3 linked regions of the Arabidopsis thaliana genome follow. The protein of the gene in region 2 interacts with the protein of the main gene of each other region in a pairwise test. Each region holds a gene or a part of one and is shown on either strand. Other genes may lie near its edges. The genes, in order: AT2G24700, AT3G18960 and BIM2.

Region 1 (10,692 bases), on a different chromosome or scaffold from region 2:
AAGGTGAAAGACTTTCCAATCTTTACGCCATTAGATTCACAGAAATATCTCCAACCACATCCTACAGATACGATTCCATCTCTTGTCAATAGATCTCCCCACCACCACTCCATTTCATTTATACCCAACATATATATTTTTCCAACTTTGTCTATGCCATTAGCTTTCATGAAGTGACTTGGAAGACGCTGCAAGATATTTGATAAACACTTCTTGTTATTGATTAGAATTCAAGATATATAAAAACATATTGATCTCTAAATCAAGGGTTTATTTTATAAGCTTACCAGCATACCGGCTTTGACATCTTCTGGTACGAGTGTTATCACTAATCGGTTTTCGCTTAGTGATGCTTGATTAATCATCTCCTCTGTGTTCTTGTCTTTCTCGGGTTCATTTCTATTTCTAGCCTCAGTGGACACATACTCTTTCTCACAAGCTACTGGAAAGTTCTCTCTACGCTTCCTTTTATCACTTTTGGAAGTATTTGTCCCATACAAACTGAGAATAGGAGAGTCATTTTCCCAAATGGACTCCAGTGTAAAGTACTCACCTATCTTCAACCTATTGGCTTTCGCAAAATCTACCCATCCCCTTCCCAAGCTCATTCTTCCTGTGCTTTCCCGTAAAAGATTAGCCAATATCCTCGTACCATCTGTTCCCACTAGTGTTACCATCTTTGGTTCGCCCAAGCCATTATTTTTCAGGAATCGCCTTGAGAGATACTGAAAGTATTTGAAATGTGAATTAAATGAAATACACTATCTTGCAATAAAACAAACAAGAGTTTTTACTTGATGAAAAAAAAACTCACCAATCTTTTGTTTCTAAGACAGTCAGGTACGAGTCTTACAGTCACGAATCTCTCCTGGTTTGGTAACTTTTTATACTTGATAATAGATTGAGAGGGGGGAAAATAGAGCAAAGGTGTTTCCTCCTTTATCGTTAGTTCGAACACAAAAAAACTTCCTACCTTTTTCCCGTTTTCGTCACAGAAATGTCTCCAACCTCTGGTTATGCAAAAACTATCTAAGTTTTTGTCGAACTTCAGATCCATTTCCCATGATCTATCCCCTCCATCTGTTAGAAAAATCTTGCGGCATTTTTTATTTAGACCATTAGAACTTGTGCAATCTTGTGGAAGATACTGCAAGGGTTCACAAAAGAAGTGTTGTCAGATGAAGAAGAGCCAGTGCCAGTGTTCACAAAAACAAAGGGGTTCACAAAAGGGCTAAACAATTTAAGTAAACGTACCAGTGCATCTTCCTTTAGATTTGAAGCCTTGACAAGGGCTACAAAAGAAGAGTTGCCAGATGAAGAAGAGCCAGCTTCGGATTGTGAACTGTTCTTCCTCACTTTTTTTACTCTTTCAAGCTGATCTGTGTCAAATAAACAAATCCCACATGTTAAAACCATCTTCGGATCGAAAACTTTATGTTTTTAAAACTCATCAAACTAATATAGAACGGAAGTGATGATGAAACCGGTCTTGTCTTGATCATCATGACCTTCTTCTGTCCTTAGACGCTGATGCTTCTTACTTGTGTAAAACATGTAAGAAATCTCCGTTCATATAGATGCAAACAAGGCTTTTTTTTGTACAGATTTTCGAAATCTTTCTTCAAAGGATTGTTCTCTCAACTCAGATCTGACTATAGCTCGTTGATTAAAAACGAAAATCATCAGAACAAAACGTACCGATCTTGTTGATATCATTGTTGCTGGGCATGGGTTTGTCACGGATGTCACAGGCGCTGACGTTGAACAGCATCGTTGTCAGTGGAGAAGAATTAATTTTGATATTCTGGTCGGAGAGAAAAAGAGACGGAGATGAAACTGTGTAATGTCCGAAATGATTTTAGACCCAACAAAGAAAAAAAACCTAATGTTCAGATAAGAATCTTCTTTTACCTTTTAGAGAGCATGCACTTTTGGGAAATTTTTAAACATGGGCGCGTACGTAGACTAAATAATTATGAGTTAAATCTAGTTGATGATTTTGTTAAGGAATTTGACCAACCTTGGTTTTGCTTATACTTTTTAAATTTTTTGTTTTATGGGGCTTCTAAAATTCACCTTTCTTTACTAGATGTAACTTTAATTTATGAGATGATTTGTTAACGGTTATTTATGAGAGAAATTAATATTTCAACCAAATTGACGGATTATTGTTAAGTGGTTAAGCTCCCGCGCAAAACTAATATCTTTTTAGATTGGTTGAAAAGCTGAATCGGATAAGCTATTGGATTTGTAAAATTTATTTTTTTTTGTTTTTTTTGCTTCTAAGAGTTTTTTAGAAAACTTTTTATTCTTAAGAAGTTAATTTGATGGATAATAATCGTTGACATGGGTTTGTAGTTTAATTTGGTATGGTCAAGGTTTTATTCTTAGGAAGTTAATTTAATGGATAATACTCTTTTTTACTAGATAAGTTCCCCCGTACAATGTTTTTAACAAGCTAAGAAGTTAAGTCAGATAAAATATGGGTTTGTAATTTAATTTAGATTGGTCTAGCTAGTTTTTATTAGTTTTCCATTCAACGTTTATTTTTTTTAAGTAGGTCTTCTCGTGGTATGTCATAGATTCTGTTTTTTCTACATCGATTATAGTTATGTTATACAATAGTTTTGAGGGTTCATCTAATGAGAATCTATGAAAATCCACAACATGACCTCTCAAATTAGCATCTAAGTATATAGAAATACACTAAGTCTCCTTTAGCTTAGTAAAATGCTATATACACATGTATTATAAATACTAGTTGTAATATTATGATTCGATTATGAGAATTTACTTTCTGATTATGAATAATATGGTATGAGAGCAAAGTGCTTAACAAACTTTCTCTCTTTCTCGTTCTTCTCTATTTTCCCGGAAAATTAAAATTTTCTTTATACATGTGTTATTTTTTCAAACCGAAATATACCATATATATATGATACATTATTGTTAGATTTTCTTTTATATCATTACATCATATTTCTAAAATATATTTTTCTAATATGAAAAACAAGAGATATTTTCCCTATATTTTATCTTTATTTTCTTCACATTAAAATAAAATAAAATCATTTGATAATAAAATAATTAAGGATTTTTGTCGGTTTTTGTGTCGGCAGTTTATGGTATAATATCTTATAATTTGTTTCTGTTTTTTTCCTCTTCACTTTACTATAAATGTGAGAGATTTTCCCTATATTTTCCCTTTATTTTCTTCACATTAAATAAAATACAAAGAAAGATCAAATCATTTGATAATAATATAATTAAGGATTTTTGTGTCTGCAATTTATGATATAATATCTTACAATTTGTTTCTGTTTTTTTCCTCTTCACTTTACTATAAATGAGAGAGATTTTCCCTTGATTTTCTTCACATTAAACAAAATACAAAGAAATATCAAATCATTTGATAGTAAAATAAGTAAGGATTTTTGTCCATTTTTTGTTTCTGCAATATATGGCTTAATATCTTACAACTTGTTTCTGTTTTCTTCCTCTTCACTTTAATATAAATGACTCTTCACTTTAATATAAGTTACATTTTCCTATATTTTATCTATGATTTTCACATCATTTAAAGTAAAATATAAAGATAAAAATATATGATGATAAAAAAAGATATACAGTATAAGATGTTAATTTTGATTTTTTGCTACATGTATAGCAGATAGCCCTTTAATTAGAAGTCTATCTCTACTACATACTGAAGTATGAAGTTTATGATTGGTGTCGACAATCAAGATGTTTAGTGACCCCCAAAAATAATTATATAAAATCTTTAACGATTCTTGTTTAGTAAACCAATATTATCTGAATTAATGATGATTTAAACGGCATTTTTTAACATGAAAATTAAACCATAGAAGGAAAGAAGTTTATTTGAGCGATGATCCTAGACATTCTTAATATTGTTCTCAAACTTTGGAACAAAACTTAAGAAGAGGAACTGTGTCTTCCCAAATCAACTCCAAGATAAACGACTCATTCATCTCAACACCATTAACCTCGCAGAAACCTTTTGAACCTCTTCCTAAACTCATTGTTCCGATCTTGTCCATCAGTAGTGAAGTACGCCATTTTGCATCGTATCTATCAACCATCGTTATCTTCCCCGCCTTTTTGATTCCATTCCGCTTCATGAATTCAAACGGAAGATTCTGTAGATACCATCATCAGATTATATATCGAGAGTATTAAGTGGAAAAAAAAAAACAAGAAAAAAACAGAGTTTTCTTGTGAAACTTACAAGTTTACTTGAATGTGTAAGTGTTAAGGTCACAAATCGGTTTTGGCTTGTTGAGTTTTTCTCTTCTGTGGAAACATATTCTTGTTTAATAGTTTGTGAACATTGTCCTTGCCTTATATCTTCATTGATAGGTTCAGCAAAAGGAAGAGTATCTTTCTCGCTAGCTTTAAAGGAGTCATTACAGTAAACTTCTTCCCCAAGAAACTCATTTTCTGTGGCTTCCATGCCAAGAAACTCTTTTTTGGTAACTTTTAAACTCTGTCCATGCCTTGTGTCATTGCTAGGATCTGCAGAGGAAGAAAGTGCTTCTTGTTATTCAATTTTATTTCAATATTTTTGTTTCTTGAAAGAATAAAGCATAAACAACTTACTAAGTTTGTGTAGATCTTCACTGTTCAAGGGTAACAACTGGAGCACAGGTGTTTCTTCGTTATGGACTAATTTGAATTTGAGCAAGTCTCCTGGTTTCTTCCCATTAGCCACACAGAATCTTCTCCAACCTCTTATCGTTAAAAACCGGCCTGTATGTGCCTCATGTTTCACATCTATCGTCCATGATTCTCCCTCTTCATTCATTAGACACATCTGAAATTTCTTCAACAAACCATTTGACATAATGAACGTCTTCGGAAGATACTGCAGTCAAGTACAGTCACCATGAATATCATTAAAACACCTCTCAGTCAAATCAAAATCAATATATGTAAGTCAGGAGTATCATAACCAGTCTATCTCGGCTTAGATTTGAAGCCGTGACAGTGGCTACAAAAGAAGAAAGGTCCGGTGAAGAAGGAGCTGCTTCTGTTTTTCGAATCTTGTGTCTTGGAAGACTCTCTGTATCAATTATAGAATCTGATTGAGATTTTTCTCAATAACCAACGGATTATGAAAATTAACTTACGAAGTTTGTCTAAATCTTCAATGGTCATAGGGAACAACTGTATCATAGGTGTTTCTTCATTTTTGACCAATTTGAATGCAAAAACGTCTCCAGGTTTCTTCCCATTAGCAATACAGAAACTTCTCCAGCCTCTTCTCATGTAAAACCGGCCGTAATTATATGCCTCGCGTCTCAAGTCTATCTTCCATGATTCTCCTTCTTCATTCATTAACACAATCTGATATTTGTTCATCAGACCATTTGACAATGCAAACTCTTTCGGAATATACTGCAAATGCCGCCACAAGCCAAGTTAGATAGAGTTATCAAGAATATACAATAACATAAAAATTACTGTAATGAGTAATATGGAAGTAACATACCAATGTATCGCGCTTTAGATTCGAACCCGTGACAGTGGCCACAAAACAAGAATCTAGTGAATTGTCTGGTGCAGACTCAGCTTCTCTCTTTAGACTCTTTTTCTTACTTGAAACATTCTCCGTACCACAAAGTTTCTCTGTTGATAGATTAAGTAATATTCTTAGACTCATTCTAAATGTGCTAATGATATTTAATATGAAACTAAGGTTACCAATTTTATCCTCTTCAAGGGTATCTTCTCCGTATTGAATCTCACAGCAACTTGGTCCTAAAGCTGTGACATGGAACACTAACTCTCCTTCTTGTCTGAAAACAACAATGTCACCAACTCGGAGATCATGTGCGATTGTGAAATCTTCCCAACCATTAGAGAGTCTCCGGCCGTCTATCTTCACTTTCCATGTCATCTCCGATGCATCTGATCTGAGCTCAGCCGTTTTTCCTACGTTAGTTCCCACTAAGTACTTCAAGAAGAACGCCACAGGAATGTCCTGAAACAGCATGCTAGATGAGTTACAAACAGAAGTAACTTAACTGGTCGGAGAGAGTATAGAGAAACAGAGTACCAGGTGGTTGGTGAAACCGGGAAGAAGTGGTTGGAAGAATTGTGGGTTGATCGGAGAATAGAGAAGTGGATTAGCCATATTCAGACGTTGAATTTTTTTAAGTTTTTCTTCTTCTGAGCGGAGAGAAGATGAACTAACAACTTTGTATCCCTTACTTCTGTAATGTAAAAAAATAACCTTTCTCAGCTTTCTATACAAAACGTCAAAGAAACTTTCTCAGCTTTTTCTATAAAGCAATGTTAAAAAAGACCTTTATCAGCTTTTTCCAAAGACTATATATTGTTTTCGAAAAAAACAAGTTTTGACTGAGAATAGTGTTGGGATTGAACATAAAGACTCTGATTGGTTATGGAAAATATTCATCAAATAAACTTAGCAAATATCAATGAACGAGAAAAATAAATCTTGAGAAGACATTGGTCTTTAACCAAAAGAAAGAAAAAAAGAAGAAGAAAAAGATCTGAAACTAAATATGCTTAATTCAACACGTAGGTACCATAATAATGTAAAAATAGTTTACAAGAAATTAAATCTTAGGAAGTGAAAACATTCATGTTTGCTATCAAAATATCATATGGTTTTGACAGTAAATTAGTTAGTTACGTTGTGGATTCGTTTTTGTCAAAAAGAATAAGAATTCGATTCTTTGTTTGCATTTACGTTTATATTTTTCAAAAAGTGAGTTTATTGTAAAACTGAAAAACGTTTTGTATTTTTAACAATGTAAAAGAATATTTTAAGTACACGCAAAAAAGGCTTAAAATAATAGTGTGTTCAATCTTCAATGTAAGCAACATTTCTCTTGAAACCACAAACAAAAATCACGAGAGGGAACTATTTGTACATCAGTATTCAGTAGCACTGTAGGAATACGTATCACGTGCATCTAGGCTATCTCTTTATTCCCCACAAAGCAAAAAAAGAAAAAATCCAAACTAATCACTACAAAGTACAAAGCGCAACGCACCAAAATATCCATCTTTTCTTTTGTTTGTGAACAGTTCCATCTATTGTCTCCTTTTCCAGTGAAAACCAATATGTATTGGGTCTGAATGGAAGAACAGAGGAGTTACGGATATAAAGCAGAGCAGGACAAACACAATTGTATCTTAATAAACCAATATATCCAGTTATTCACCTGTACTTGGTTTTGTCCTACTACAATAATAGATTTGCATTTGAATGCATTTAAGTATATTAAAAAGTGGTTAAACTAACACTATTACTACAATTATCCAAATTATTTTCGTTTCTAATATTTATTCTTTCTATTTTCTACTTCTATGTTAAAATGTCTTAATTGTCAAACTATGAAATCCACATCTCACTTTGCGCTGAGACCACATCTTTTTTTCAGCATAAACGTGAAAATTTCTTTAGATTATATTAACTGCATATAAGTATAACCCAAAAAAGAAAAAGTATAACCCTAATTCCAGATAAGTTAATATGCTACTAGTCGTTAGCACATAAGAATTTATAGCATTAGGTTTAATGTCTTGCATAACACGTAATAAAATCTACCTCTATTGTAACTTTGATAGTCTCTCTTAAATGGGTCATTTGTTTCTGAAAATCCTTATTTACAAAATAAAGTACAATTCTTCATTCAAAAGAAAAAAAAAGTACAATAGTTTGGTATAATAATAGCATATGTTTTTTTGTTAAATTAAAGACTGTCTTGGTCATGAACTTGAGACATATTTAATTGTGTCTTCCTCTTGACAGGCATTTGTTGACTTGATGAACACGGACTCATCTCTACCTTATCGAGGTACGAAACCTGGTCTTTCGCTAGGAAACAATATGTGAAATTTCCGAGTGCCATAACACACACAAGTAACACGCCAACAAACAGAAACAAGAAACTGTCTATGTCAAGCTGCCTAGAGGTGAAAGAGGGATTTGGATCTGGATTAGTAATTGGATCAGGACAGCTTTGTTCTTTCTTCTTGAACCATGCACGCTCGAGCTCCATTGCCTTTGGAGACTCTGCTACTTTTAAGATGGCCCTTGAAACATCGGCCACTAGAGGTGATCCGATTGGAAAAACCTGCGAAAAAGGACTTATGATCTCTCACCATTTAATGCAATTTTCACATAAGTTTTGATATAGGAACTTACAAAGCCGAATCCATCAACATTGAAGGGTTCTTCAACCATTTTGTATGTGTTGCAAAACTGTCCAAGAAAGAGTCTCAAGTAAGGTATTTCCAAGAAAGCTCCAGAGACACCACCTTTTTTTGGTCCTTTACTTAGAAGCTCATCACATTCTTCTGCAGTATCAAAGGGCACAAGGCTAGATTGCGGGAAACCTCTTTCTTTAAGCTTTCCAAGGATGAAGGATGTTCGCTGATAACCCACTGTTTCTCCTTTTTCAAGCAAACTACTCATGCTGGTTATTGTTGGATTTAATTTCTGTGATGTCAAAAGCGATGCCAAACTCGCTGTGTAACTCTGGGTTAACACGAGAACGAGAAAGTACCATGCGATAACCAGGGCCCTCGCCCAAAAGCTAAATACTCTTTCTCCTGCAGACAGGGAATCGAGAATAAGAATCAAGCAAGGTGCATGATATATAGGAACATATATATGCTGACATGTAGAGAGGGGAGATTAAATGTACTTGGAGCAAAAACCATGGTAGAGAAGGCAAACCAACAGATGGTACTAGCTTGGAATCTAGGCGGTCCACTAAAGTCCGGATTACGCTTATATTCGAGAACCCATACAGTACAACCGACAAGGAAGAAAGAGATAAAGGAAGTCAACCATAGTTTCCATGACAAAGGTTTCATGAAAAGTATATAGTCTCTCTTTACTGGGTCTGTCATTTCAACGATCAATCCGACACCTGATTTAATAAATGGGAATGTGAAGTCGACGTAAGAAGACCTGTTCACCAATATGGTTGTATCTCCCACAACCGCATCATATCTCTGTGACAGAGAAGCAAATAAGAGTTCACTTAGTATAGTTATAAATGCTATATTGATGAATGATTAGTATGTGCTCATACTCACCCCGAGGTACACTTGGTAGACCAAGTCGTTGTAATTACCGGCTGTTTTTCCGTCGGGTTTTTCGAAAGGTATGAACTCATATGAGACGTCATAAGGCAGTTCTCGAATCACAGCCTCAAAGAAATCTATGCAAAAACCTGTGACTACAGTTGAATTGGTAATAGGATCCCTTGTGACTTTCACAAGATCAGTGTAGCCGGTTCTTTTGGGAACTCCAATACGCAACTTCTTCCCCTTAGTCGGGATCTGCCATCCTTTCGGAACAGAATCCGCCTCTCCAGGCCATACAATGTGTTTAAGATGATCTTTCCAAGTAGATAAAGCGCTTATGCTACTTGCTTGCTGATCAAGTTTCTTCACAAGACCATTTCCCTCCTTCCAAAATCCTATTGATTTTTCTCCGGTATTGATTATATTGACAATCTCAAACACCGATGGTTGCAGTTGCCCGCGGAAAAAACGAAACTCTCCTGCAAGTCCTCTGAACTGAACTGTTAAGAGTGTTTGGAGAAGCTTTGGACCGAACTGAGATAAACCAAGAGCTTCAAGTTCAGAAACATTCCTCCCTGTATCCACCACTTTACTGAAAGTCATGTTATTTGTTCCAGCTTCTTCAATGGCTACCGCTAGTGCGGTGGTAGCATCATAAGCCCACAGACCATAGACACTCAGCTCCACCCGTGGGAATAAACTTCTCCATCGAGATCTAAACTTCTCAAGATCTGGGGATTTTGGAATATAAGTTTTAATACCCAATACCCCCTCCATAGCCTCAACAGCCGTCTCATTTATCAAACTTAAGTCATCGATAACTCCATTGGTAAGGATCCAGACATATCCTGGTTCCATCAAACCAAGCTCTTTTGCTTTAATGAAGAATCTTGAGGCAAGATCATAGTACATGTGGACAAGGAACACTCTTGTGGGCATGTTCATCATCTTAAGAAGCTCCACGGAGATTTCATGATCAGTGGCATTGATAGCGATAACGGATCTATAAGGTATCCGGACATTAATATCTTGTAAAGCATCGGTAAGACGAGGCATTATACCTTCACCAAAGGTGTTGTCAATGTAAACTGGCACAACTTCTCTCCATCCGAACAATTTGATGATGGCTTTTATTGGTTGAACTTGAAAGGAGTCTTCGTACGTAGCACGTAAGAAGTATGGACTACGAAGGGAAGTAAGAATTGGGCTTGTTGCAGAATAGGAAACAATAGGAACCCGGGACTTTTGGCCAATCTCGATCAGGAAGTGAGCTTGCATAGATGTCCATGGCCCCAAAATAGCCTTCACTTGTTTGTTCTTTATCAGGTCAAGAGCTGTGACAATGCCAAAAACATTAAAAAAAATCATATTTATTTTGTTTGAAGTAAAACTATCTTTGGAAGTAAGTAGAAACATTTTTAGTTGGAGAAAATAATTATTTATATATTCTAATTAACTCTAATTATATTGTAGTATTTATTATACTAGGAATGTTCAATGGGATTGCCAATCACCAAAAGTTTTGCAAAGTAATCATTTTTTACACATTTGCAAAATAATCATCACTATAATTCTTGTCAAATCCAATAAAAAAAAGTT
Region 2 (9,342 bases):
CGGAAGTAGATTTTGTCCAAGGAAGATCTATCAGTTTACGCTGACGTGTATGACATTATTACTGTACTTTAGATAAGTAGGACCGGCCAAATATGCTGACGTGTAAAAAAAAAAAAACCACCTGGCCAACACGATAACGATTCCAAGTTTTTTTCACCGACATCCGTACCGGTCTATCCTCCTCCGCCTTCCAAAATCAAGGCAAAATCTGTGAATATCGGATACAGTTCTGGAGGGATCAATAGTTTAAAAAGCGTATGGATTGTCAGCGAAAGAATCTCTAGTGTTTTTTTTGCTTTTGTATAATCTGAGGTGGGTTCGTTGAGATTATCTGATCAAATGATATAGAGAGAGCTGTATGTTTCTGTTCTATGTTGTTAGAATTTTGTTCATAATTTTCGGATTAGCTTTTGAGGTTGATCAATGAAGCAGTAGACATCGCATAGGCGACACCATAGTCCATGTAATTTTTGAAATTAGCAAATTAGATGTTTTATCATCTGTCTCAAACTACCTTGAGGTAAAGATTTCTCAAATACGGGAGATTTGTTATAGGAAAACAGAGATGCGCAATGAATGACATGGGCAAAAGTGGAGTGGAGTGGAGGAATATAAGGGACACGTGACAGAAGCTTATTGGAGTGTTTGTCTAGTATGACAAGTGTTTGTTGTGATGATGCGCTTGAGGATATGATAATTTGTTGAAGACTGAATCCAGTGGTAGTAGCTAGCTCTCACTAGAAAGGGATTTACAGTGTAGGAGTATCTTAATTTAAAAACAACTAAAAAAACTCTCTTCTGGTCTGTGTCGTTATTGCGTCAGTGTCTCGTTTTTTCTCTCGGGTTTACTTTGTGTTATCGATGTGGATAAGTTGTTTTTACCTCATTATATATAACCTCTTGAGTGGAACTCAAATTGTTTGAGTAGAACAAACAAAGTTAGGGTTTAAGAAGAAGTCTGTAAATACCTAATCTCCATCAAATTTGGTACTTGTAGCCATGATGATGATTATGATGAAGATGGGTTTGTGCTGTAGATTCTTCGATATTTATTTTATCTCTTAGCTTTTGTTTCTCCTTCTCTTTGCCTTAATCCATTACAGTATCAGAGTTTGGTGCTTATGAGCTCTGTTTTTCCAGGACCAAGATTTTTGTCCTTGTTGCAACAGAATTCGAAAACCCTAATTCAAGCTAAGCAAATCCATGCTCAATTAGTCATCAATGGCTGCCATGATAATTCTCTATTTGGCAAACTCATAGGCCATTACTGTTCAAAGCCATCAACCGAAAGCAGCTCAAAGCTTGCTCATTTACTAGTGTTTCCTCGATTTGGTCATCCTGATAAGTTTCTCTTCAACACATTGCTTAAATGTAGCAAACCAGAGGACTCGATTCGGATTTTTGCCAATTATGCATCAAAAAGTTCGTTGCTTTATCTCAATGAGCGCACTTTTGTCTTCGTCCTTGGCGCTTGTGCTAGGTCAGCTTCGTCGTCGGCGTTACGGGTTGGTAGAATTGTTCATGGGATGGTGAAAAAGCTTGGCTTTCTATATGAATCTGAATTGATTGGAACCACTTTACTCCATTTCTACGCTAAGAATGGAGATTTACGTTATGCAAGGAAGGTGTTTGACGAAATGCCTGAGAGAACCTCTGTTACATGGAACGCAATGATAGGTGGATATTGTTCACATAAGGATAAAGGCAATCACAATGCGAGAAAGGCTATGGTTTTGTTTAGGAGATTCTCTTGCTGTGGTAGTGGAGTTAGACCTACTGATACAACCATGGTTTGTGTTCTTTCAGCCATTTCTCAGACGGGTTTGCTCGAAATTGGTTCTCTCGTTCATGGTTACATAGAAAAGCTCGGGTTCACACCCGAAGTTGATGTCTTTATCGGTACTGCACTTGTCGACATGTACTCAAAATGCGGCTGCTTGAACAACGCATTCTCCGTGTTCGAGCTAATGAAAGTGAAAAATGTCTTTACATGGACTTCAATGGCAACGGGGCTAGCTCTCAACGGTAGAGGAAACGAAACACCGAATCTTCTAAACCGAATGGCGGAATCTGGGATCAAACCAAACGAAATAACTTTCACTAGCTTGCTTTCGGCTTATCGTCATATAGGTCTTGTTGAAGAAGGAATCGAGCTGTTCAAGAGCATGAAGACAAGATTTGGTGTCACACCGGTTATCGAACACTATGGTTGCATAGTAGATCTTCTTGGTAAGGCAGGGCGGATACAAGAGGCTTATCAGTTTATATTAGCTATGCCTATAAAGCCTGACGCTATCTTGTTAAGAAGCCTCTGCAATGCCTGCAGCATTTATGGAGAGACTGTAATGGGTGAAGAGATCGGAAAGGCTCTTCTCGAGATAGAACGAGAGGACGAGAAGCTTTCGGGTTCTGAGTGCGAAGATTATGTCGCTTTATCGAATGTGTTAGCTCATAAAGGGAAATGGGTAGAGGTAGAGAAGCTGAGGAAGGAGATGAAAGAAAGAAGAATCAAAACAAGACCTGGTTACAGTTTTGTTTAACATAGCTTGTTACAGGTCAGGATTCAAAACACTACTCATTTTGCAATGAAAGTTTTTTAGTTTCATCAAGTCATTAATTAACATTACACAACAAATAAACTTGCAGGTCTCGGTTCTGTTAAAAGCTCTGTTATCCCCTGAAGACTCTCTTGTCTTCTTCTTCTTCTTTAAGCACATGCATTGGATTCATCACATCAAGATCTACACATAGATTAAAAATATTCAGATCCCAATCTTCTTAATCTATATTAAGAACAAAGTCTTCTTACCGTGTAGAATCTTGTCAAGTTCGATGTCTCTTGATCTCTTCTTGGATTTGTGCTCTGTATCACCACCATTAACAGATTGATTATTCTTCCTTGTACCTTGAGTTCCAACAAACTCTTTGCCTGTAATATCGATTATATCATCGTCGCTGTCAATGATATGAACTGCATCCAGTGGATATTTGGTCTCGCAAGCCGAAACATTGAAGATTATTACACGGAAACTCGAATTCTCCTTGTATTCGAACAAGAGAAAGTGGCCTTCCTCGATGGAATGAGCCTCTGCAAACTCACTCCAACCCTCATGGAACCAAATCTCTTCACCGATCCGTTTGAGCTTAATGGAACGCTTGAAACCCGCAGGAGTCTCTAATGTAACAACCTCTGAGAGTTTAGACCCTTGTAGCTTCACGAATCTTGGCGGAATCTTCTGCTCAAAGTTATTCAACATAATGAGATTTTCAGAAACAAGTAACAAAATGTCAGATCTTAAATTCTCTACATTTCTTAAGAACAAATGATCAGATTAGTGTATCCCTTTTAGATCTCTAGTCCAAGATAAAACAAAAGAAATGGACACTGTTTAGTGAATCTTCAGATATAGTCCCTAGAAATTGAAACAGGGATAACAACACACATGCAAACACTTTATTTCAAGTTTTTTCTAAGTGTTAAGTAATTACCATCATCTTATCCTTCATCGTTGAAGGTAAGACCAACTTGAAGAACTTCTTCACCGGCGACTCAGGATCTTGCTGTGATCGGCGGTGAGAGACGGAGGTGACTCTGGCCTTCGTGTTTTGGGTTGTAACCATTTTTGTTTGCCTTGTTCAGAGAAGAGAAGGTGAAAATTGAGAGTGGAGAGTGATGAGTGGAGAGTTAAAGCCGGAAAAGAGAAACCGATAAGTTTTTATCTGACAAGAGTGACAAAGTTGCTTTAACTCTATGTCGTTTTCCAAGACTCATTTTATACAGTTCTCTAGTCAAAAGATAAGTCTTACCATTATTGAAGTTATACCAGTATAAACCTTGTATATAAATTAAAAAAAATATCATGGAAATACGCTTTTATCAATAACCAATGTATAATTCGTTGCTACATGTCATAACAATCAAAGGCTAGTTACATCAAATAGTAAAAGCTTACCTACCGATAACAAAATATATTTTCTATACTATTACAACATTAATATAAACGAGACGAAATATATTCTCGAAAAGGATTCGTCGAGGCTTCCACGACAGTAGAACGATCACCTCCTCGTCGAAAATTACGTTCGTATTCTAACGTTGACGACCGGCAATTGGGAAACACGGCGACTTTCCCCGAAACTTTTGAGAGAGAATACAAATGTAAAAATCAATATAGCTGATAAAATCCAGCTAAACTGAAGATTCGCTAACGCTTGTGCCATAATTTCTGTACAAGGAGACTCTCAAACCAGCCCACTATGATCAACAATAGTACTGTTGTTACTTCTTGGTGTATCGGTCGTGGTTCTCAAGCAACCCCTATATGGACATAATTTGGATCTAAAAACATTAACCCCATGTTCAAGAACCAGCATCCTTGAAACATGAGCGAGGCCGAGAACACAAGAGACGCATAAAAAGATTTAGGGTAAATGGTCGACGCAAGAGCTGAAGAGAAGGAGACGAAGGCAGCGAATTCGAGGAGGACATGGTACTGGCCTTCAAGACCTAAGTGATCAGTGGAGTGAGAATCAAGAAAGAAGAGTACTTCTTGCATGAAAACCAATGTTGCATGAAGCCCGATGAAACCGGTATATATCCTTATCGGGAGGATTTATTACGTCAAAGATGAGAGTGGAAGACGCAAACGAAATGAGTTGGAAGACTATGCAGATGTGTTTGATTTCCGGTTTGAAAGACGATAATTTAAGGAAAGGGAAATCTGAGTTTAGGAGGAAAATGGATAAGAAAGTAACAATGATAATGACGATGAGCTCGAGATGTTTGAGTTTTTTGTTATACGGGAAAGGGAACCAGAATCATGAGGTGAAATTTTGGTTTGGGGAATTTAGAGAGTAAGATTGTATGGTATTGATTACATGCCAGAGACCGAGAAGTGCAAGTGAGAGACCAGGCACAAAATATCCTAAGAAGGTTCCCATGTTTTAAAATGAATTTTCGAATATTTGTTTAGGCTTATAAGTTTTTATTTTGATTATTATTCCATCTCTTTGAAGGTTTTGGATTAAGTGATGTCCTTATTTATGCTAGATGCATTAGGTTGAGCTTTCTACATCATATTATAAACATTCAAACCTGATAGTCAGCTAAATCTTTTGGGGAATTTGCCTTGAAGCTTTCTCCTTTTGAGGAAGTTGCCTTGAAGCTTTCTTTTTAACATTTTAGTTTTTTTTGTTCGGTTGTGTTTTGAACAAATAGGCTTCGGTTGTGTTTTGAACAAATAGGCTTCGGTTGTGTTTTGAACAAATAGGCTTCGGTTGTGTTTTGAACAAATAGGCTTCGGTTGTGTTTGGCCCAATGCCACTTAGCTTTTGGGTCTCCAAATCGCCGCTGAAGCTGTGCCGCTTTGGAGAGTTTCTGTCTCAAATGAGAATCTTGCATGTGGAGTCATTTATTGATTTTATTTAATTATAAACGGCTGCTCTAGGTTTTTTGAACTAAAAGCCTTAATATGGGCTGGGTTTTATCTTTAAAGTTGAAAAGAAAAAAAGAAAAAAAAAAAATCCGACCTGCCGGAATCGAACCAGCGACCTAAAGATTATCTGCAACGCCTACAGTCTTCCGCTCTACCAACTGAGCTAAGGTCGGTTACATTAATCCTCAAGACAAAACTATAAATATCCTAATATTTTTGAGGCTGTGAGTTATGAAAATTTATGATTAACTTAACAAGACCTATATATAATAGTCTACCATATATATAACAATTATAGCATTGAATAATAAAATAGTCAAGATTATGGGTTTAATCATTCTTAATTAATTAAATTCAAATGAACAAGAAACTACTGGGGATTTGCCTAACTACTGTGGCGCACAATAATTAACGTCGTTGTTTGTTGTTGTATCCTTAATTAAGAGAAAAACACAGAGACCATACCCAATTCAAATTATTTTCAGATATATGTTGCGTTTAGTTATATAAACGGCGCGTGGAAACCGGATTTGAACCGAATGTCAATGTGTCTTTCAAAAATGTTTTCCTATTAACCAAAGTCCGAGCCTCTAATCGATTTCCTTTTGGGATTTAGATTACTATTCATGAAAGTAAATCATCTTTATGTATTGATGAGTCGCTATATATATGCACCTTTCTTACTTAGTCGTGAAACAACTGTTCTACAAACTGATAGTCTTAAACCTAAAAAATAGATTAGACAAAAAAAAATTGTCGGAATAGATTTAATTATATATAAAAATATTATTGTTTGGGTACAAAACATAACAATCTTTCAGTCAAATATTTTATAATACTAAACTGCAAATGCTCGTGAGAACAAAAAAAAACACACACTAAAAATGACAAATAAAATTTTATAGTGAAAATCTGTAGACATCGTCATTGTTAATATAGTTGGGTTAATACACATAAAAGCAATCTACAGAGATTCTTTTCTACGAATCAAAGCATATTTCTACTACTTAAATTTAGGAACTTCATTGTCATTAAAATTATCATTATGAATTTTACAATTTAGAACTAATTAACCAAACTCTTAAACTTCTAAATTGCTTAATAGATCAAGATTTATCAGCTTTTCGTGCTATTTGAAAATATGAACAGAAGGGTGGTGTGTGCATGTCTATATGTCAAATGTCAATGTGTAGAAATAGCAATACATATATCCAACGAAAAAGAAGACTTTTTACTTACGTTCTTGAAGACAAAAAAATAGAATATTACAATCCTCTCCGTTTTTCCAGTGGCTAATTCTTTTTCCAACAAACTGAACGTCTGAACCAACAAATCAACCTAACATACGAACATATTTCATCTTATATAAATTTCTTATTAATTAGTTTTCCTACTAGATCAATATGAAATAACCCAAAAACTCATGAGGTCTCTCATTTAGCTAGCTATACATGATCTATCTATGTGGTACTTTGTTTAGGTTTATAGGTTTGATGTGGTTTATCAGTTTTTTGGATTTTTTTGCAAAAGCAACGAGTATTGGTTATAGCCTTATAGGTTTAGTCATTGATCATTTGTATACTATAGTCTATAGGACCATTTATTAGCCTCTAAATAATAATCTGTTCACATTCTCGTACATTCGTCCATGAATTTTGTTTCTTTCTGTAATCATATAAGGTAATGTTACAAAAAAAAAAAAAAAAAATGTTACAATTTATTACTTAGACTTACGAGTCATGACTAACAATGGTCATATTTTCAGAGCGAATACTAATGCAACCAATCATACGGCAAGAACAACTGATTGTATTTATACTTCTGGAAAAACAAATTTGTCTGATACTGTACTTGTAATTAATATCTTGAAACCAAGATCTATTATTAATTTAAAATTTATTAGAAATAATAAGGGAGTGTTTGGATGTCAATGCGCATTCATACATGTATAAATGTGCACCAAACTTCTTAATCCCACGAAAGTGAAACTTTTCACATAAGTTCATGAAAACACCATAAAAGTTTTAGCATCCCATTTTTCAACGACTTCTTTCTTTTCAACAAATCAACCTATAAACGTAAGTATTACAAGTCTTCAATTCCATTTTTCTCTTGTAAAAGATTAATGGTAAAATAACAAAAGCTGAGTATTAAAATTCCATAAAATAAGATATAAATAAAATGATTTAATACAATGAAACAATATTGTCTAAAACGTAACTCAAATATGTGCAGTTACTCTTTACAAAGAAGATCGAATAAACTAGAAGAACTTTCTAAATCAGTTAGATACTTTCACGACATGGCAGTTCCCTATTGGTTGTATGAAATGCTTCTTTTAGCCGGCCATAAAAACTTGCCTTGACAACAACGGCAGGGATCACATGGGCCGCGGAACATTCTTCTGTTTCATAGTCCGCATCACCATTCACCACGCGCTTAAGGCGGCGGCGGCGCGTGTACACTTCTCCTCAAGCATATCTCAGCCAATAACCGTAGACGCCGACTCCGTCACGCGCCACACTTTAACCGATTTGTCCAAGCTCCCACTGTACACTATCCATTTCTGATCTCCTTTCTCTCTGTGGCCTTCGCCGTCATCTTCCACCGCCGTCAAACACTTGACAGGTCCCACGTGGTCCATCAATACCGAGAGACACGAGTGGCTACCATCACCGTTTCTCCTCCACACGCAAATGTTCTTATCCGCTCCGCCGCTTAAAACCAGACTTCCGGCGGCGGCAAGGCAGAGCACCGCCAAACGATGGCCGCGGAGAGTTCCACCGTGAGAGAGATACTTCTGTCCTTCCCAGAAATTAACGGTACCGTCAGAAGAACCACAGTAAACAACAGCCGCCGTTATATTAACCGCTAACGCCGTTACAGCGTTCTCTTGCTTCATCAACACATTAACAAGAAAATGCTTCGTCCCTTTGCCTTGAAGCTCACGTTTCCACACTTTCAAAGTTCCGTCGGCGGATCCGGTGAATAGCAAATCGTCGAAACCAGCAGCCACCGTGTTGATCGCGTCGTCGTGAGCTTGAATCGATTCAAGACATTTTGAATCAGATAATCTCCAAACTTTGAGAGTCTTGTCCCACGAACCGGAGTAGAGTAAACCGAGCTCTTCGTTCAAGCTAAGACACGAAACGGCGTCGTAATGACGAATCTTGAGAACATTTTTCCGACGACGAACCTCGACGTAGTTCTTTGGATTCACTGATTTCGTCAAAAACTCTTTCAACGTCGGCAAGCTTCCGATTCGTGAATAACCTCCGGTTCTTCTTTTAGAACCTCTCCAGACCCGAATTTTACCGTCTTGATGACCGGTGAAAATCCGGTTATCTCCGGTTATCACAATCGCTTTAACTAATCCACTGGTTGATTTAAAGCCTGTGTGATCCTTGAGATCTTTCCAAACACGAATGTTCTTGGAATCGGATCCAGTGAATAAAAGATCTCCAGAAGCAGCCAACGAGTAGACATGACCGTCTTGTCTCACGATTGTACCGATCAAACCGTTGTCGGTATCATCATCAATGTTTCGGGTCTGGTAGATCCAAGGAGACTTGTAGTACGGAGAGTAAGTTTGGTTCCACGGTGAGGGAGACATCGATGGAGTGTTTGTTGTGTCGGTGTAGTACGGAGAGTAGGTTTGGTTCCATGGCGATAGAACTTGATTAGGAGACGACTCACCGCTAGTTGTCGAAGCATTGCTTTGACTTTGTCGGTAATTATGATGGACATCCTTGTTGATGTTTTTGTTGCTACTACTGGGATTGATGATATCATCAACACCATGACTCTGTTCTTCTTCGTCAGCGGCGGGATCGGAGTTTAAGAAGGAGGCGAAAGTGAGTCTCCGGTGATGACTACTACTGGTGGTTTCTGTAGCTATTACCATATT
Region 3 (10,641 bases), on a different chromosome or scaffold from region 2:
ATGCAGTTTTTAGCAAACATGTAATTTTAAAATGGTCAAAAATATTAGTTATCAAATTTCTTAACAAAGTAACATAGATGATATTTCTACAAATGTTCCTTAAATTATAGTTTGTATGAATCTCCTAGCTTTACTTAACCTATTATTGTCCACCTTTGCAATAATAGGCTTTATAGTACAAACTACTATTGCAAAATCAAACTATCAATATTGTAAAACTGGAAACTAAAATAGATCTATCATTTTGTAATAAATACAAATATTTTTACGTTATCTGAAACCAAATATCTCAATACATACAGGCATTCAGACAAAAAGAGTATGAAAAGTAGATTATATTGGAACGATCGACAAGCTACGACTGCTATATATTGAAGTATAAATTAACAAAAACGTAACAATCAGAAAAGATTTGGATAAATCTCCAAAGAGATGGGCAACTTGGCTCGATCTATTCACCAAAATCTACCAAAATGGTCCACGTACCTATCAGCCTCACCCACAGGCCACTTTATTTAACCTCGATTCAACTTTATTTAGTCTATACTTGTGTCTATAGTAGGTTAATTCATTATTACGATTACACGAATTAACATGATATTATCAATACAAATAATAATATAGTTTGGCGAAGGAGTGGTCCCGTCGGGGGCAGAGAGTGGTCTCTGGCTGCATACAAAGATTTGAGTTCGACAACACCCCAACCATATATTCTTTCGTACCTATCACTCTCCATCGATCTATCTCTTCTTCTTTTTTTCCCCAAACCATATTATTTCTTTTTATGGTCTTTTTGCTGAAAATCATAACTAGTTTTGTTCTTCTTGTTGTTCTCCTGCTCAAATATAGTAAAAGCGTACTATAGTTATTGGCAAAAACAGTTGTTTCGTTTTCTATTGTACTGTAGAAGATTCACAAATACCATGTGTTAGCAAATTTGAGGTCTAGTTGTGCTGGTTTTATCGATTATTTGGCGTTCCTAGTACCAAAATCTGCAACACAATATAGTTATCATAAGATTATTGTAGTGGATATAAAATGTTGTTATGATGTAAGTCTAAACCTAACTTTAAAAATAAAAATTGGTAGAGTTATGGACTTAATTATGGTGTCAAGTATTTCACACTTTCACTTTGTTTCAAACACTTATTTTATGTGAATACTTCTTTTCTTAAACTTGAAACATTTCATATTTAAAATTATAACCCATATTTTCAAACGAAAACAAAATTATCCATTGGCCAATAGGAAACTAGGAATGGTGCGACCAATAAACTCTTAAAAGTCAAACACCTCTGCGTGACTCAGAAGTTTCCCTCCGCGTTTGCCGTAACGTTACCTTTAATTTCGTCAGTAACGCAAAAATAACAGATCCGAAAGAAAAAAAATCAACACACCGAGAAAAAAATGGAAGATCTATGGAAGAGAGCGAAATCGTTTGCAGAAGAAGCAGCGAAGAAATCACAAACCATAACACTACAATCATCTTCAACAACATTCGTCAATCTCGTCACCGAAACCGCTAAAAAATCCAAAGAGTTCGCTCTCGAAGCTTCTAAGAAAGCTGATTCGATCAATGTCTCCGAGTTCGTCGCCGAGACGGCGAAGAAGTCAAAGGAATTCGCTGCTGAGGTTTCAACGAAAGCGGATCAGCTCAAAGTCGTAGCATTGAAACAAGCTGATCAGATCCAGAATATAAAATCGATTGCCGACATTATACCTGGAGGATTAGGAGGATCAGGATCTGGTGGTGGTGGTTCTGAGATTTCTGAATCTGAGCTTGTTAGTTTTGGTATTACTGATGATTTGAGAGAGTTTGTTAAAGGTTTGACATCTGCTACGTTCCAGGCTTTTCCTGAACAAGGTATTGTTGTTTTGTTGTTGTTGTTGCTTTATCTTTGTTTTGGAATTGAGGATTTGAAATGTGTTATGGTAAATGTGGATTAGATGAATCGTCGGAAGTTTCTGATTTGGAAACAAGTGCGTCGAATGTTCGGAAGGATCTTTCTGAGTGGCAGGAGAGACATGCCACTCTTGTTCTTGGTTCTGTCAAGGTAGATTTTTCGAATTTGAGATTGGAATTAGTTTGATTAGTTGGAGAAGCTGATCTTGCATAATTGGTTTAGTTATAGATTCATCTCTTCTGTGCTACATTGTTTGATTTTGCATTTTGTGTATGTTGCAGCAAATTTCGAAGTTGAGATATGAACTATGCCCACGAGTTATGAAAGAAAGGAGGTTCTGGAGGATATACTTTACCTTAGTGAGCACTCATGTTGCACCGTAAGGATCTACCATCTCTTCTCAAAGTCTGAAAATGTTATCGACACTAGACTGAGAATTGCATTAAGCGCATAGGAGGTGGTAAAGATAGCTTAAGATCTCTATATTTGTATGACTAGGTAGTCTCATAGCTTAATCACTGCAGCTTAAGTTTGGTAAAATGAAACCATACGTAATTATATGGGAAATGGATTATACCTTATCAGCACGGATTTGATCCAGAGACAGTCTTAGTGAATTCTCTTGTGGCTGCAAATCATCTATTCTGCCTCTAGCTTGGTCCAGTATATCTCGGAAAACCATGTAACTCACAAATGAGAATATAAAAAACAAAGGAACATGACTGAAAACATATAGAAGATCTTGACACCTTAGTTGTTTGTGTATTTCTGAGAAGTGATTAGTGAATTGAGCACCCTTGTCTTTCATTCTTATGAGACTTGATAGCTGCATGAATTAAGCGGAAAGGATTTGTTTTGAATCAGATATGAAAGGAAGTACATGGAGGAACTTAGGAACAAAGCAGAGAGTAAAGATGAAGAAGCTAAGAAGAGTCCAGGGCTTGGAAGGACAGAATCAGCTGAAAAGAACAGAATATCTACTGCATCGTCTGAGCAAGATCTCGATACATTCCTGCTGGGAGATCTAGAAGACAGTGACGAAGCTCCTGGTGAGACACCTTGACTTGATGTAGCTTCCCAAGTTTTAGCTATGACTTAAATCCTGATTTTGTCTGTATAATCGTAAAACTTGCAGATGATGGTGATGGTGATGATGGAGGAAGCCTGGGTGATGATGACTTTGACAAGATTGGCAACTCTGTAAGTGAAAACGTTTGATTATTCTCTCAGTTCTTTAAAACATACAACAACAGAACATCTTGGTTTAATCCAAATCTGCCTTCACGTGTTTGCAGGATGTTGAGGAAGAGAAAGAATCAAATGCAGCAAAAAATTAGAAATATTATTAAGTTTTGTTACATACCCAATTGTTGGGAAGTAAATGAGGATGGTATATGATCTGTTTCATCATCAGTGATTCAGTGTATAGCTTTTGATGCAAAAGATGAAGACACATTTTATTCATTCGAATTCGCAAATTATAAAAAAACAGACTTTGATTACAAAATTATCCTAAAAAGCGAAACTTTGACATAAATATTAGTCGCTGGAGAGGTTAAAGTTTGCTAATGGCAGTAACATATCTTCTCCGGCGTTACAAGCCGGCGACAATATCATCAGTTTTGTCTTTCTCGACGAAATGTTTTGTTGGACGAACATCATCACTCTCTGTTCCAACGGAAGCTCCTCCGGTTCCAAAGAAGATCCCATTCGCAATCTCATCTCATGGGATCACAAGACAAGATCCTTTCCATTGGATGAAGAATACGGACGACACCGATTTCGTCGACTTCCTCAAGCGTGAGAACTCATACTCTCAAGCTTTCATGGCTGACACAGAAACCCTGAGGCGTGATTTATTCTCCGAGATGAAAACTCGTATTCCAGAAGAGATTTTCACTCCTCCTGAGCGTTGGGGACAATGGTTCATCTCTCTAATCTTGTAACTTTCTCTGATACGAGTATAAAGGAGTGAGCTTTTTGATTGATTTGGTTTAAGTTGTCTATTGAGCAGGTTATATAGACAATACATACCCAAAGGAAAAGAGTATCCTCTTCTATGTAGGAGATTGGAGAAGGGTAAAACAAATTGGCTCTCTGGTCTTTTTCGTGGAGAAGAAGAAGAAGTTGTGCTTGACTGGAATCAAATTGCAGAGCAGTTTGGTAAAAGTTCATTCCTTTAGTATAATGTTTCATTGTTAGTTTTAGAGTCATCGTCAGTCTCTAAGCAAGTGTTATGTGTACTACTTCAGGTTATGTTCATGTTGGAGTTTGTCGGGTTTCACCTGATCATAACTATCTGGCGTACACGGTTGATCCCGAAGGAGGTGAGCGTTTCATTCTCCAGATTAAGGATTTAAGAACTGATCGGTTAGTTCCGAGGTTGGAAGTTGATGGAGTTGTTAGCTTGGCATGGGCTTTAGATGGAATCACCTTGTTTTACACTGTTACAGATGAAAACCAAAGACCTCACAGGCAAATACAGTGACTCATACTAGTAGATAGATAGCTTTTTAATTTTATTAAACTTGGAGAGTGTTTGTTCAACTGCGACTAGTTTTTGCAGGGTTGTTGTCACAAATGTTGAATCAGATGGGAGAGATGATGCCGTAGTGTTTACCGAAAGAGATTCCAGTTTCTGTGTAGACATAACGACCACAAAAGATGGCAAGTTTGTTACTATCAATTCAAACTCAAGGACTTCATCCGAGGAATTTACCTCTTTCAACTGCATTTTTGTTTTTGTTTTCTTAGTGTCTATCATCGATATACTTTAGGCTCAAGCTGAGTTATCTTGTTTTCAGGTTTATATTGTAAATGCTGATAAGCCAATGGCTGGTTTGCAAAGAACTCGCGAACGAGTTCCTGGCGTGCAGTGTTTTCTTGAACATCACAATGGGTTCTTTTACATTCTTACAAATTCTCCCTCAAATGCAATTAGTGAGTGGTCTGGTGAAGGCTACTATTTGACTAGATGCTTAGTAGAGGAAATTGAAGCATCTGACTGGCAGACTGTTTTCCGTCCAGATGATGATGTGGTTATACAAGATATGGACATGTTCAATGACTACTTAGTGCTTTATCTTAATAAGAAAGGCTTACCTATGCTCTGTTCCATTGATATGCCCATAAAAGCAAATACGAAGGTATTTCTGATTAGTATTGCAGTTGTATGTTTTTTCTCTGTCGCTTTGCGTTCATACATTTTCACTAAAGTATGTTTCATTTGTGCAGCATATGGATGATCTTGTTCCCTGGTATTTTCCACTTCCAGTTGATTCATGCAGTGTTGCCCCTGGTTCAAACCACGACTTCCAGAGCTCTATATACCGAGTGGTGCTTTCGTCTCCTGTGGTAAATAAAGAAACGGGTTTCTCTATTTGTTTTAGCTTTGAACCATAACATAGTTTATTTGCATTTGAATTTTTCTTTCTACTCTGATACTTTCTCTGAATATCTTACTGTTATTGTTGGAATTGCAGATTCCTGACACTATCGTTGACTATGACGTGTCAAGAAGATTGTTCTCAATTGTGCAGCAGGAGGGAGGGGTTGTAGATAATTCTGATAGTAGTAAGCCATGGTACACAGCAGATCGCTCTACAGAGAATAACGGTCAACTTAATGATAGAACCAGCGAGGGAGAAGATGGTCAGTTAGATTCTCGAATGCCTAAATGGGAGGACTTATCTGATACATATGTTTGTGAAAGACAAGAAGTTTCTTCACATGACGGAGTTGAAGTCCCTCTTACAATTCTGTATTCACGAGAAGCATGGAAGAAGAGTGAGTCACCGGGAATGTTGATAGGTTATGGCGCTTATGGAGAAGTTTTGGACAAAAGCTGGTGCACAAATCGATTGAGTATGCTTGATCGTGGTTGGGTGATTGCTTTTGCTGATGTGAGGTCAGTCACTAAACATAACCAAAGCATTCAATTATCATTTGCTTCAAGTTGACATCACTTGGTATAATAGTGGTTGATTTGAATGTGCTTCTATAAGAGTTTTATTTTGGCCTCAGGGGAGGAGGCAGTGGGGAGTTTTCATGGCACAAATCCGGAACTAGATCGTTGAAACAAAATTCAATCCAAGATTTCATATACAGTGCTAAATATCTAGTCGAAAAAGGCTATGTGCATAGACATCATCTTGCTGCTGTTGGGTACAGTGCAGGAGCTATTCTTCCAGCTGCAGCTATGAATATGCACCCGAGTCTATTTCAAGCTGTGATTTTGAAGGTAAGAATATTATGGCATAGCAAATGCATTAAGTTGTGTCCAGAATAATCAAAAGCTCAAATCATTAAGGTGTGTACCATTTGGGCAGGTTCCTTTTGTAGATGTATTAAACACATTATCGGATCCAAATTTACCTCTCACACTCCTGGACCATGAAGAATTCGGGAACCCAGACAACCAAACTGACTTCGGATCGATCCTTAGCTATTCTCCATATGATAAGATACGAAAAGATGTTTGCTATCCGTCCATGCTTGTCACTACTTCGTTTCATGACTCAAGGCAAGCTAGCTTCACAAAAGAACCCTTAAACCCATATCTCTTTTTTGTTTTAAGTAAGAATCTTTGGATCATAGTTTGCGTGTGTTATTGGGTCAGGGTTGGAGTATGGGAAGGTGCAAAATGGGTGGCTAAGATAAGGGATAGTACGTGCCACGACTGCTCCCGAGCTGTGATTCTGAAAACAAATATGAACGGAGGGCATTTTGGTGAAGGTGGTCGCTATGCTCAATGCGAAGAGACTGCCTTTGATTATGCTTTTCTTCTCAAAGTTATGGGTCATCACAACAATAGATAAAAGCATCACATCATCTTTGGTTTAGCATCAAATGATTTTATAATAGTCTTTCACTTTAAGGTTAAGAGATTGCTAGCCTTTGATCTCGCTCTCTCAACAAAAAAGGAAGATCAAATCGGAAAAAAATGATGCAATAACTTGAAACCACAAGAGATCATATTTGATAGGTTACATGAATGATGCAGAAGATGATACAAACTCAGAACCACAAAAAAACGCAGAATCTACTAACCAAAGTTTATCTTAACGAGTACTATAGGAACCCCTAGAAGCCGAACAATGTACACGATACAAGGAATCTGTCAATACATTTATATATTCCAGCGCCGTGGAGCCTGAGAGAGAAATGTCACAGTGTTTTCATCCGCTTGTGAGAATGTTCAGATTCTTCCTCAACGCTTGAATCCCTTCCTTGCGTATCATATGATAATGGATTCTGTATAGAAAAATGTATCAACATCATGATATATGGCTATTGTTACAAAACTAAGTATGAAGCATTTCGAACCAACTATTTACCTTACTTGATGGCTCTTCATGAGTTAGACCTTGATTGGCTCGCTTCCCAAGATCGATCTGCACAGAAAGCTTTGCTTGCGACAGATCAATGCCTGCATTCTGGAGTGCTTGTGTTAATGAGCTCAATAACCTGGCCATTTCAGAATTAATGTCTCACAAGATTAGTACACAATGCAGTTAAAAAAAAAGGGTAGAAGCGAACACATCAATGGCAGCACAGTAACAGAAACGAGGAAGACTTAGAAGATCAGACTCACTCATGCGAGTAGGCACTAGAGATGCTAATGGTTCCACCTTCAATAACCAGGTCATTACTTTGGCCTAGCCCATCACTAGTTGCAGGACATTCATTAGCTTGTTCGCCTTGTACCATTGGAAGAATTGGTTGTAGTGGTGGTAATCCTTTGTCGTCTAACTCAGGTTGACTTTCAATCGATATGCCGGTTATAGCTCTTGCTTTGTCAGATTCAATCGGGATTTGCGGTTCTGCAATAATTGCAGGTGTCGAAGTCACAGTGTTGTCTTCAAACTTTCCAGGAAAAGGTATCCCTGGACCAGATCCATTATTTATAGCTACTGGGTGGTTCCCCAAACTTTGAACTCGCCAATGATTATTCCTCTGTTCCAATCAAGAAAACATAACCTTCAGCTAAAAGTCACACAAAGAAAGCCTTGCGGGTGCAAAAACATACTCAGAATCTACAATCACAGAAACTCATTGAGAAACCGACATAAGAAGAAGCTCAAAACTTTACCCATGGCGTCAACTTTGTTGGTTCCTGACTCCAACCTGGATACGATCCTTCATACTTTTGCACCTTCTCTTGTAAATACTGAACATAATCTATCACCTAGAATGGAATAGCGGTATTAAGCTAACAACATCTAAAAGACAGGATATTCGCACAAAGCATCATCAAATACCATGACATACCTCTAAAAGGAATGAAGCAGTGTCACGTTTTTGTTCACTGTTGGGAATTAGTTCTCTCAATATCTGAAATCTGAGAAGAGATTTATGAATTCAGCACTCAGAACAAGAACAATAATTATAATGTAACTAAGTCCTATATCAAACACCACAAAACTGAAGCAGAGCAAAATTCCCAAACACAAGTCCTAAGTATTCTTATGATTTTGTTAGCAAAGTAATTGAATTTTGATTCAGATATCAAAACAAAGAATGTCGCGTTTACTCCTAATCTCAAGTTCTCACAAAAACAACAATCCAAAAAGTTTGAAATCCTCACTTTATATCAACATACCTTTCATTGATTTTGCTTCTTCTACGTTGCTCAGTGACCGAATGTTTAGAACGTATCGCACTAGCTTTATCATTTTCCTTTGAATCTGCTTTCAAAATCAAACACCGAATCACACAGAGACAAAACTTAGAAAAATCTAATCCCAAACTATTCAAATCCATCTCGATACATATCAACAATAGCTCCAACCAAAACACAAATTGACGAAACAACAACTAAGAAAAATTCAAAAGTCTCCCAAATCGAACAATTTACCTCTGTTGCTATGAACAGTAGTGTTGGAAGAAGGACCTTCACGTTTAGAGTTAAAGTCTTCTTCTCCGTAATCTTCTTCCTCTTGATTTCCTTTTCCGGTTCTCATCTTCGCCGGAGAATTTCGACTGTTTATTGTTTTATTTTCAACTTTTGCCGTCGACGAGCTCTTTTTTGTTGCTTATTTGTTTTTTGTTTTTTGGGTGCCTCGTGACTCGGCTGAGTTCTAGTTAGCTGTGGGAGAGACTACGTGAGTTTACTTGAGCTTTTGTCCGTCAGTTTCGTGATTTGGAGACGTGTACGACTTGATGTGATTACCCGGTTAGGCCTCTAAATGAACCGTAGCTTGTGATGACACGTGGGATTCACGTGATAAGACGAGATTCTAACCTATCAGATTTAAGGTGGTCACGTGATGCACGTGGTCTCTTTCTGATCTGTTAATTTTCACGTACTATGTTTGTTTCTAATCGAACGGTGACATATGGCTATGTTTCCAAAACAATACTATAAAGGGCCGAATGGAATTATCAGACTTGGGCCAAACCCAAACTTTACAAAGGAAAAAAAGAAGTAACATATGCCTATGTTTCCAAAACAATACTATACCTTATTCGAATTTATCAGACATGGGCTAAGCCCAAAAGTTACAAAAAAAAAAAAAAGAGTAACAATACTATCAGAGCCAGGTTTCGATCCTGGGACCTGTGGGTTATGGGCCCACCACGCTTCCGCTGCGCCACTCTGATTTGTTGTTGTAATGTTAATTAGGTATATATTTATCATGGTAATGTATAACTCGTGCCAGAATATGGGCTTTGAGCCCAAATAAGAGCGTAACGGATCTGATAAGCGGGTCGGGTTTGACAAGATCCATGAAATGTGAAGCAGAAACCAAAGGTTTTATGAAGGGTTTATTTCGGCGGCTGTGTTTGTACTTCACGGCGCCTTCTCTTTTCTCCAGATCTCTCTTCTCTTCACCCAAGTCTTGTTTTTAATCTGTTCTTCGAATCTGAACTCTTTGATTTCTATGTTTGTATTAATAACTCTACAAAATCAAGTAGCTACATAGCCCGAGATTGTGCTCGTGGAGGCAGTAAACTATCTGAAGCAGCCACTATTACCATTTCGTGGCGATCACAAAAACGATTCAAAAAATGTGGAGGAACATTCTGGGAAGAGCTTCATTGAGAAAGGTTAAGTTTTTATCTGATTCTAGCTCCTCCGGTACTCATTATCCAGTGAATAGAGTCCGTGGGATTCTGTCTTCTGTTAATCTCAGTGGCGTTAGAAATGGTTTATCTATAAATCCAGTCAACGAAATGGGTGGATTAAGCTCGTTTCGTCATGGTCAATGTTATGTGTTTGAAGGGTATGCTACAGCTGCGCAAGCTATTGATTCGACTGATCCTGAAGATGAGTCTTCTGGGTCTGATGAAGTTAATGAATTGATAACGGAAATGGAGAAAGAAACTGAGAGAATCCGTAAAAAAGCTAGGCTTGCAGCTATACCGCCAAAGAGAGTCATTGCGGGAATGGGAGCACAGAAGTTCTATATGCTGAAGCAGAGACAGGTGAAAATGGAGACTGAAGAATGGGAAAGAGCAGCGAGAGAGTGTAGAGAGATTCTAGCTGATATGTGTGAGCAGAAGCTTGCACCGAATTTACCTTATATGAAGTCTTTGTTTCTAGGCTGGTTTGAGCCTGTGCGTAATGCTATTCAAGATGATCTTGATACTTTTAAAATCAAGAAAGGGAAGATTCCGTATGCGCCTTTTATGGAGCAGTTACCGGCTGATAAGATGGCTGTTATCACTATGCATAAGATGATGGGATTGTTGATGACTAATGCGGAAGGCGTTGGCATTGTTAAGCTAGTGAATG

The links.
Region 1: the proteins of AT3G18960 (region 2) and AT2G24700 interact in binary tests that used the Arabidopsis thaliana proteins (3 or more experiments, as listed by UniProt).
Region 3: the proteins of AT3G18960 (region 2) and BIM2 interact in binary tests that used the Arabidopsis thaliana proteins (3 or more experiments, as listed by UniProt).

What each region holds. Positions count from the first base shown.
Region 1 is NC_003071.7:10,509,132-10,519,823, forward strand, and holds AT2G24700 (Transcriptional factor B3 family protein), read right to left. Parts: upstream 6,281-10,692; 5' UTR 6,158-6,280; coding exon 6,080-6,157; intron 6,005-6,079; coding exon 5,725-6,004; intron 5,650-5,724; coding exon 5,513-5,649; intron 5,419-5,512; coding exon 5,151-5,418; intron 5,084-5,150; coding exon 4,974-5,083; intron 4,886-4,973; coding exon 4,621-4,885; intron 4,537-4,620; coding exon 4,250-4,536; intron 4,161-4,249; coding exon 3,918-4,160; 3' UTR 3,753-3,917; downstream 1-3,752. Other genes in the region: AT2G24696 (transcriptional factor B3 family protein), read right to left, coding at 1-188, 288-725, 815-880, 974-1,147, 1,255-1,379, 1,699-1,771; GLR2.3 (glutamate receptor 2.3), read right to left, coding at 7,749-8,132, 8,204-8,610, 8,706-9,018, 9,103-10,427.
Region 2 is NC_003074.8:6,536,897-6,546,238, reverse strand, and holds AT3G18960 (AP2/B3-like transcriptional factor family protein), read right to left. Parts: upstream 3,784-9,342; 5' UTR 3,622-3,783; coding exon 3,490-3,621; intron 3,302-3,489; exon of another isoform or gene 3,258-3,301; coding exon of another isoform or gene 3,237-3,257; coding exon 2,810-3,236; coding exon of another isoform or gene 2,784-2,809; exon of another isoform or gene 2,742-2,783; coding exon 2,671-2,741; 3' UTR 2,563-2,670; downstream 1-2,562. Other genes in the region: MEF20 (mitochondrial editing factor 20), read left to right, coding at 1,122-2,540; AT3G18957 (uncharacterized protein), read left to right, coding at 4,432-4,490, 4,611-4,704; AT3G18950 (Transducin/WD40 repeat-like superfamily protein), read right to left, coding at 7,918-9,339.
Region 3 is NC_003070.9:25,940,029-25,950,669, reverse strand, and holds BIM2 (BES1-interacting Myc-like protein 2), read right to left. Parts: upstream 9,042-10,641; 5' UTR 8,867-9,041; coding exon 8,761-8,866; intron 8,591-8,760; coding exon 8,506-8,590; intron 8,245-8,505; coding exon 8,175-8,244; intron 8,092-8,174; coding exon 7,996-8,091; intron 7,860-7,995; coding exon 7,498-7,859; intron 7,371-7,497; coding exon 7,241-7,370; intron 7,158-7,240; coding exon 7,071-7,157; 3' UTR 6,722-7,070; coding exon of another isoform or gene 6,523-6,721; 3' UTR 6,427-6,522; downstream 1-6,426. Other genes in the region: AT1G69030 (BSD domain-containing protein), read left to right, coding at 1,408-1,864, 1,948-2,054, 2,186-2,283, 2,769-2,953, 3,040-3,104, 3,200-3,241; AT1G69020 (Prolyl oligopeptidase family protein), read left to right, coding at 3,473-3,828, 3,919-4,067, 4,157-4,379, 4,471-4,615, 4,709-5,050, 5,139-5,258, 5,387-5,811, 5,928-6,144 and 2 more; MGP3 (male gametophyte defective 3), read left to right, coding at 9,915-10,641. UniProt on the Arabidopsis thaliana protein: Positive brassinosteroid-signaling protein.